Oryzias latipes: one gene and its partner. The protein of the gene in region 1 binds, or shares a complex with, the protein of each later gene. Links are inferred from orthologs where the notes say so. Each region holds a gene or a part of one and is shown on either strand. Other genes may lie near its edges. The genes, in order: map2k1 and ksr2.

Region 1 (3,992 bases):
GATTTTCACTAACATTTCTGTTATTTCCTCTGGCAGCTGTACCTTAAAGAAGGCATCTACAAGAGCAAAGGTTTGTTCTCTCTTGAAAATGACTTGCAGGTGTTTTATTTAGAGTAGAGTCCAACTGCTTGCCAGGATTTATCTAACGGATATTTAAAAAATGTGCAGGAAGTTGAAACTCCAAATCCTTACCTTGAGTGAATCATCAGTCGAATAACTTTTTCAATGGTCCACTTCTAGACAGCATCACGAATCCAAATGTTTTGATAAAAGAATAATAACTGAAAAACATTAAAATATTAAAGAAATGTGTTTTACATACATTTTTTTTAAAAACAACAACACTGAATTTATTGAATGAGCTACGTTGTTACCCACTTACTTTCAAGAAGGAACAAATGAGGGTCTTATAATTGTTTTTTTAATTAGCTGACAAAAGATGGCAAAAGACACAAAAATCCTGGAGTGATGGCACAAAACAACTCCCTGCCTACAGAGTGGTGTCAATGAAAAAAATGACAAAGAAATACTATTTTATTCTGTTGTACTTGTATTGTCGTTCTTCTTGCAAAAGTTTTGTTGTTGTTTAACTTAAATTGTTAACATTTTGTGTGAGGTGTGTTTTTTTACTTGCATTAACAGTAAAATGATAATGATCATTTTAACAATCGCTTCATCTTGCCTCTTAAAAAAAAGCTGTTCAGTCTTTCTCTGCTATCTAACTTGATGTTGACGGAATGGTCCATTGCCACACAGGGACAGGGGAGGACAAAACACTTTCACACGAGCAGTCTTATGCCATTTCAGTAATTTGGGCTTTTTATGACAGATTTAAACTATTGAGGAAATTATTTTAGACCATGTTTGTAAATGCCCCCCACACACACATGTGCAACAAGTCCGCCCCTGTACAATACACGAACTTCCCTCTGCTGCACAGGACTGCGATGCCAGCAGTCACCGGCAGAGGGCGCACTGCAATCAGGGCCTGACATGGTGCCCGGAAGACCAAGGTGTAAACATTTTTGTGACGTTCAGCTCACGTCCACCCGTTAAGCGAAGCATCAGCTGCGCTGGGTCTGCAGGTCGTGACAGCACTGCTCCGTTTTCGTTCCACTGGTTCGTCTGGCCGCCTTGTCCCTCCGTCCTCACGGCTTTCATTCCACAAAAAGGCCGATTCCTGAGAAAAAACATGCAGAAGAGAAGGAAGCCAGAACCGATCCAGCTGAACCCGATTCCCGACGGAAACACACTGAACGGAACCGGAGCCTCCGAGTGAGTGTTGGCGATCAGCTGTTTGTCACATACGAAATGTTACATAATTATGTTTACCACAGGAATTTAGAGCTTTTGGTGTGACAATAATCTGAGACACTGTCTGCACCGACTGTGGGATTATTTATTTATTTCACAGTTAAAACTGATTAGAAAGATAGGTTCAAAAAGTACTACTAACACAAGAACCTCTATTAGAACAGTACTAAGAAGACGAGCAGTGAATCCAAAGATACAATAGCGTCAAATATTTGTAAAAATGTTTCAAATAAACAAAAATTGCAGTGTTTTTTTTTTAAATTTAGGGGATCTGCTTAGAGAATCAGAGAAATCAAATCTCTGTCACAGATTAGTGTTAATACAGCTCTCCTCACTGTGACTGATCTAATCATCACTGTGAAATAAAGTGGCTCTCCAGCTCTCTTCAGCTGATTTCTGAGGGGAGGCACTGTTTAGTGATATGCTTGTGTGGGTTGGAGGTAAAGAGAAAAAAACCAACATGATAATGGAGAAATAAACCTGTTGTGACACCTTGTTTAGTGTAAATCTGTGGAAACAATTCTTTGTCATTCCACCAATAAGCTGGATCCCATTACATAACATGGTCTTCACTATGAAGCCTGTTTGTGCAGGCAGGATGCTTTCTGGTTTCTTTATTAGATGCAGCCTCTGAAAGTGATCTGTAGCCTTTGCAAATGAGCACATGAAGGAAATCTAAATCAAGGATTGGGGATATTTTTTTTTAAACTGCTGAGAGTATGTGGTAATACTGCTGTTTAATGTAATGTGAGGATGCTAACCTGCAAACAGGTGTTGCTTTGTTCTTGTTGTTTTTTAAGCAGGTTTTTTGGGGTACATTCTGACAGTTATCTGAAACAGTCTAAAAAGCACTTTCTATATTCATATAGAAAAAAAAAGGTCCATTAAATTACACAGATTTTACTTTCCTAGCTCCATGTGAAACTCAACACTGTATGGCTCCATAACAGACTATAATGTGAGTGCTTGATGGCAGTCATCTAGTTTGGTATGTATTCTCCAGATCAATATTAACTGTAGAAAGCTCTTCTTCACATTAGCTCCTCCAATCCTGGCCCTTAGTAACATGTGATCCAAAATGTTGTTGTTCACCTTTCGGCATATCCCTTCAGAGGTCGCCTCAGTGAATCAGCTTTTACCGATTTACTGAAGGGACATGTGTTTTTGGCAGTGATTTTTACGTCGGATGTCCTGTATTTTTGCTGACTGGGGACCGGCACAGGGAAGACCCAGACTTGGGGGGGGCCCCCCTTGGGTCTTGCTCAAGGACCAACACTGGATGAAGCCTGGTTTCCCATGCGCCAGTCCTACACTCAGCTAACTGAGCCATCCAGCTGCTTGACATGTGATCCAAAATGTATTTTTTAGGTTCCGACATGAACTTTTAACAACATTGACTGACGTATGTCAAAACAGGAAATCCACTATTTTGCAAAAAAACATTTTGTGTGATGAAAAGAATGAGTCAAGTAACCATAAAGGTTAGTTATATGTATATGTCTAGCATTTCTAAGCATTGGGTAGTTTTCTATTGTCAGCATAATTTGACAAAAGTACGTTTTACTGTGTAAGCCTCATTCTCCTGCCTCCCTATGTTGTTTTGAACACACCTGTGCGTACAAATGTATCTCCTTAACCCTGTGGGTAGAAAGGGAATCAAAGATATAACAAGACAAAACAATATTTCATTAACTAATCTGAAACTCTCCTCTTGCTGCATAGAAGCCTACTCTTTTTTTTTTTAACAGATCTGAGTTCCTTCATTTAAGTTTCTTAATATTCATCATTTTTGTCATAAACTGTTTTCAAATCCACTGTTTTTGCTGACATTTGTCTGCAAGGCTCGGTGCAGAGCTGCAGAACGGGTTTCTTTCGTACCTTTATCTCCCATTAGATGTCCTTGAATATGACGCGAATGGATACAAGAAAGGCCGGCTACGTGCGCACACCCCCTGCACCTCAAGTGGTGCTGCCCCTGTGGTTGTTGCACCCACATATATTGTGTTGAGTGTGTTTCATGCTAGTTCTTTTCTCATCTCCTCCACCTCCAGCTCTTGTTGACAAAACACCCACGCCGCCCACATCTACATGTAGCTCGTTTCCATGGATATGCAGCCCTACTGACAAAAATAAAAGCACTTAAACCCTGTCTTTGCTGCATGACGGAGCATTAGAGGAGAGCTCAATGCCCAGCTTTGAGTAGTTATCAGTGAGTTGTGGTTCGACATGGACGTAAAATTCATAGCTGTGATGAAGCTGAAGGAGACCTCTACAGCAGGAGATCAGTCAATGCTCCTATGATATGTAGAAATCATACTTCAGGGCTGCGCAAAACTGCTATAGTACCGAAATGATCGGAATTCGTTTTTAATACAATGTAATTTGATTTATTTCAATTATTTTAATTCCAATTCCCATTTCAAACCCAGCTGTGTTTGGTTATGAAAAACTATTTCCACAAAACATTTCATTTAAAGTAGGTGAATATTAAAATGTCATTAATCAAACTAGACATTCTTATGGTAAAAAGTAACAGAAAAGGTTTGAAGACTGAAGGGAAAAAAAAGAAATAAGCAAAAGGGGATGAATGGATTTTGCTCTGTTAAAGGAAAGCTCTATTAATTTAATAGATTTTTTGAAACCCAAGAACATGTTACATTGCAAAACCTCTTCTCAAG
Region 2 (4,036 bases), on another chromosome or scaffold:
AACATAGCAATGACATAAGTGAGGAGCCTGGTCTTTGGCGTCCTGCAGGAAGATCCCTGAAAAGGTTCTGGGCATCAGGCAGCTTCTGCATCCAGCCCAGCAGCTGAGTTCACATTTCTCTTTGCAGCATATTGGTTGAATTTGTGCTCTGGTGCACAAAGAGCATCACTGAAGGCGACGCTTTCTGTCTAAGCTCACAGCTTCTGGGTTCCGTTGGAGTTATTAACAGCTTGTCCCACACAGGATGCAGTTAATCAGCGATCAGAGGCAGAGTGCACGCACTTTCTTCTCCTGAAGGGTCTTTCCACTTCCATGCGCACAAATCTTTTGTCATGCTAGTATTCTGTTAAATGTTTCTTGAAGACAATTTTAAACACAGCAGCTTTGTTTTTTAGTAGCTCCTAAGCAGTCAAAAAAGTTCACAAACTATTTCTGCTCTCCCTTAGAGTGCAGGATTTTTCTCTCTCCCTTTAAGTAAGAAGAACTTAACAATTTTCCTGCTTTTTTTTTTTTCTTTCTCAGCAATGAGGGCAACCATTTACTTCAGATCGAAGTTGAACCAACATCGGACGTAAGTTTTTTAAGCATGGACTGTGATCTTTCACACATCTGTTTGGTCCACATATGTACATCAGTATGGAAACAAATGCAGCCGCCAACATCTGCGCTTCAGTTGCTTGTCGTCCTTTAGTTCAGCATTATCAGTGACCTCTGAGGAGCCTCCAGGTAACTCTGGGGGACCTTTGATGCTCATTACTGCAGCCACTTTAACAAAATTTAAAGTATACCATGCACTGGAATGTTGGACGTACTTACATGCTATTGCAATTTATCAAATCTGTTGGCATTCACCCTTTTTACGCTCTTTTATTTGTTTTTTTTTACTCTTTGCTCAAAGTAGTTGGAGTAAATACTTGAGCCCGATGTAGCCTAAAAATGAAAGATTCTTGCTTTTTTGGTTGTAGGACTTGCAATGAAAGAGATTGACCAAATGTCTGCTGGAGGTTCAAATAACTTAATTTCCAAGATTTTAATGTAATTTTTCATTCTGGCACAAAAAAAACAGTTGTGTTTTGCCTTACCATAGAATGAGGACGGTAACGTTGAGGACTCCGGCGACGAATTCGAGGAGATGAACCTGTCTCTGCTGTCGGCTCGTAACTTCCCGCGCAAGGCCAGCCAGACCAGCATCTTCCTGCAGGAGTGGGACATCCCCTTCGAGCAGCTGGAGATCGGAGAGATGATCGGCAAAGGCCGCTTTGGAAGAGTTTACCACGGACGGTGGCACGGCGAGGTCGCCATCCGCCTGATCGACATCGAGCGGGACAACGAGGACCAACTTAAAGCATTCAAGCGCGAGGTCATGGCCTACCGCAACACGCGCCATGAGAACGTGGTGCTCTTCATGGGGGCGTGCATGAGCCCGCCACACCTGGCCATAATCACCAGGTAAGATTCAGGAGGTCAAGTACAGTATGACATCGTGATCTGCAAAACCTCATTTCAAGTTAGATTAGATTTTATTCACTTTTTTAGTCAAACATGTAATCAAACGAATCAAACAAGTAATCAAATCGAATCAAATATTAGTCAAATAGAATGTGCCTGACTCCTTGAAGATAAAAATGACTGAAATCAATATTTTGTCCTTAAAATTGCAGATTAGGTCCCATATTGACAATGAAAAAAAACAACCATTAAATTCAATCAGTATGAGATTTTTAAGAAAAGTATTGAATCATAAACTTATGTTGACGTTAGATGGATGCTAACCTTCATTCATTTTGATGGTTTCTGAAAGACAACAATATTTCTTTTTCTTTTATTCAGTTGCACATTTTCTGTTATCACAGGTTGAATGAGAGTCCATTAAAAGTTACAGGAAAACTGAATTTGTATTTTCTTTAGTTTAGTCTTTTTAATTAGTTTAGTTGTGAATAATGTTTAATCCTAAATTTCTTAAAATCCTGTCAGGAAGCCTGTTTTTAGTTTCTGTTCCGGCTCTTGTTGACATTCGGATTAGGTTACTAATTATCAGTTTCTTCTTGATTGTCCTTATCTCAATTATTCACTCAAGCCTGTGGTTTTCTGGTCAGCTTTTGTTTTTGGATCACATTTTTGGTTTTCCTTTACTTACATGTGCTGTTTGGTATGACACTCAACCATAAGGGGTGGAATTGCGGAGGTCAAACCACCAAATGGTTCCTGAGTGTGGCTGTCTGCTGCTCCCCCCTCCCCGCAGAGATCAGTCAAATGTGGAGAGCAAATTTCACACACCCAGTTGTTTGACAACCAATAGGACTTTGCCTTTCCTTGCACAAAAGTACTGATTTTCTAAAGACTTTCAAAAAAACAAACAAACTTGTATCTATGTGCTGTTTTACGATGTGAATTTTAAGCCTTAGCTACATGCACCTTTACGAGGGTTGATGCTGCGGCTTTTTGGGTTGTCCGGGTCTATGGAGGGTCTTAGAGAGGAGCGGCCGCATCTTAAGGGCAGCATGGAAGTGCGCTACCCTTATGGGACGTCATGAAAATGGAACACACCATTGTTATATGTGTGGTAAAGAGGAAGTTACACACACTTATGATGTACAGGTGATGTGGTCGTACAGTGCCCTGCACACTCTAGTCAGTAGTAAGGTGTGAGTACTGGCCCCTTACTGACTGCACGTGAATGCTGCACGCACAAGGTGTGCAGGTGAAGCATACATGCCCATCTTCACACAAATTACACTCTGATTGTCTCATTTCCTCATTTCTAACACTCAGGCTGTATGCAGGCAGCACCTATGGGCTCCTTGTACAGCCTCCAGGATTTAGAGGCTTAAAAGAAAAAAAATCAGTCTGACACGCCTGCAACTCACCTACTTCACTATTACTTACCTCTGAGTGTTGTTTACTTGTTCACCACGACCTGCTGCAGGAAGCCCGTAGAAGAAAGCTGAACGAACATCTTTGCTCTATGGGCTCACCAAGGTGTCTACGACCTTCATATTTTGTGCGGACCAAGTACAGGTTTGCCCATTTTTTTTATCCGCAGACCACCCGTATCCACCCGTCAGAGCAGTTGTGATTAAAGGTTTCGCACAGTTAATTAGAGATGGTAGAAGCAGTGATAAAAAACGACTACAGTCCACCTTCTGTCAGAACTGCAATCCTATCCATGCACAAAGACTGAACAGAGGAAAAACTAATAAAAACGAGATTGAACCAATGCTCTTTGCTGGCTGTGAGCCGGAAAAGGTCTTCAGCGTTGGTTCAGATCTGCTCTGCTGTGAGCGTCTGACAGAGAAACATGCAGGCGTTATGATTAGAACAGGCTGGCACTGTTGCTGAGTAGATGTACCACCCACACCTCACAGCAGCAGCAGCAGTGTTGCTTTCGCCTTGACAGTCTGGCAGCAGACAATGCAAACGTAGCTTACTGTAAGTGAACTGAAGAAATTCCCTGCCCGAGTTAACACGCGTAATTATTTCAGGGAATGGCTTTCACGTTTTGTCGAAACGGAAAAGCAACTTTGCTCATTGGGAACATCACAGGAAATCCTCTCCTTCAGTTAATTAGCTAATTATGTTGAAAAAAGTTGTTTAGACGTTTGCCTCATTTCCTCTGTTATCTACTTAGACTGAACAAAAGACAAGTAAAATCCTTGTCCTTTCTATTTTGTGTTTTTTTTTTTTTAACTATGAAAGCTTCCACAGTCTTTTTTTTAACCTCCAGAAAGCAAAGAAGTGTTTTTAAACATTGTTTCTTTTGTGGCAGCTGTTTAACTAGATTTACAGATGAAAAGTATAAAAGAACAAGCGAGCTGACGGTTGAAAATACCTGCAAATGTCAGAGCAACAGGTGGCCCAGTCATCCAATAATACTCTGCCTCAGACGTCACACTGACGGGAGAAAAAAAAAAAAAAAGTTTCTTCAAATGCAGCTTTTCTTGCTTTTTTTCCCGGCTTCACCGCAGCTCAACACATCAATAGAAGTGCATTGATTTTTATTTACATTTGTGGAAACATAAATATTGACTTTGATGTT

The links.
Region 2: the proteins of map2k1 (region 1) and ksr2 are in contact, whole or in part, in a crystal structure (PDB 7UMB), measured with the Homo sapiens proteins. The link is inferred for Oryzias latipes from reciprocal best matches to the Homo sapiens genes MAP2K1 and KSR2. Residues at the interface, in NP_002746.1 of Homo sapiens: Val81, Glu102, Met219, Ala220, Asn221, Ser222, Phe223, Val224, Gly225, Thr226, Arg227, Ser228, Met230, Arg234, Leu235, Gln236, Gly237, Met308, Ala309, Ile310, Phe311, Glu312, Leu314, Asp315, Val318, Asn319; in NP_775869.4 of Homo sapiens: Lys674, Arg818, Asp820, Lys821, Leu822, Arg823, Ile824, Gln825, Asn826, Ile837, Arg838, Gln839, Leu840, Ser841, Pro842, Gln877, Pro878, Ala879, Glu880, Ala881, Ile883, Trp884, Gln885, Gly887, Thr888, Met890.

What each region holds. Positions count from the first base shown.
Region 1 is NC_019864.2:16,494,862-16,498,853, reverse strand, and holds the start of map2k1 (dual specificity mitogen-activated protein kinase kinase 1), read left to right. Parts: upstream 1-1,192; coding exon 1,193-1,275; intron 1,276-3,992. UniProt on the Homo sapiens protein: Dual specificity protein kinase which acts as an essential component of the MAP kinase signal transduction pathway.
Region 2 is NC_019867.2:3,337,534-3,341,569, reverse strand, and holds part of ksr2 (kinase suppressor of Ras 2), read left to right. Parts: intron 1-522; coding exon 523-571; intron 572-1,087; coding exon 1,088-1,449; intron 1,450-4,036. UniProt on the Homo sapiens protein: Location-regulated scaffold connecting MEK to RAF. Has very low protein kinase activity and can phosphorylate MAP2K1 at several Ser and Thr residues with very low efficiency (in vitro).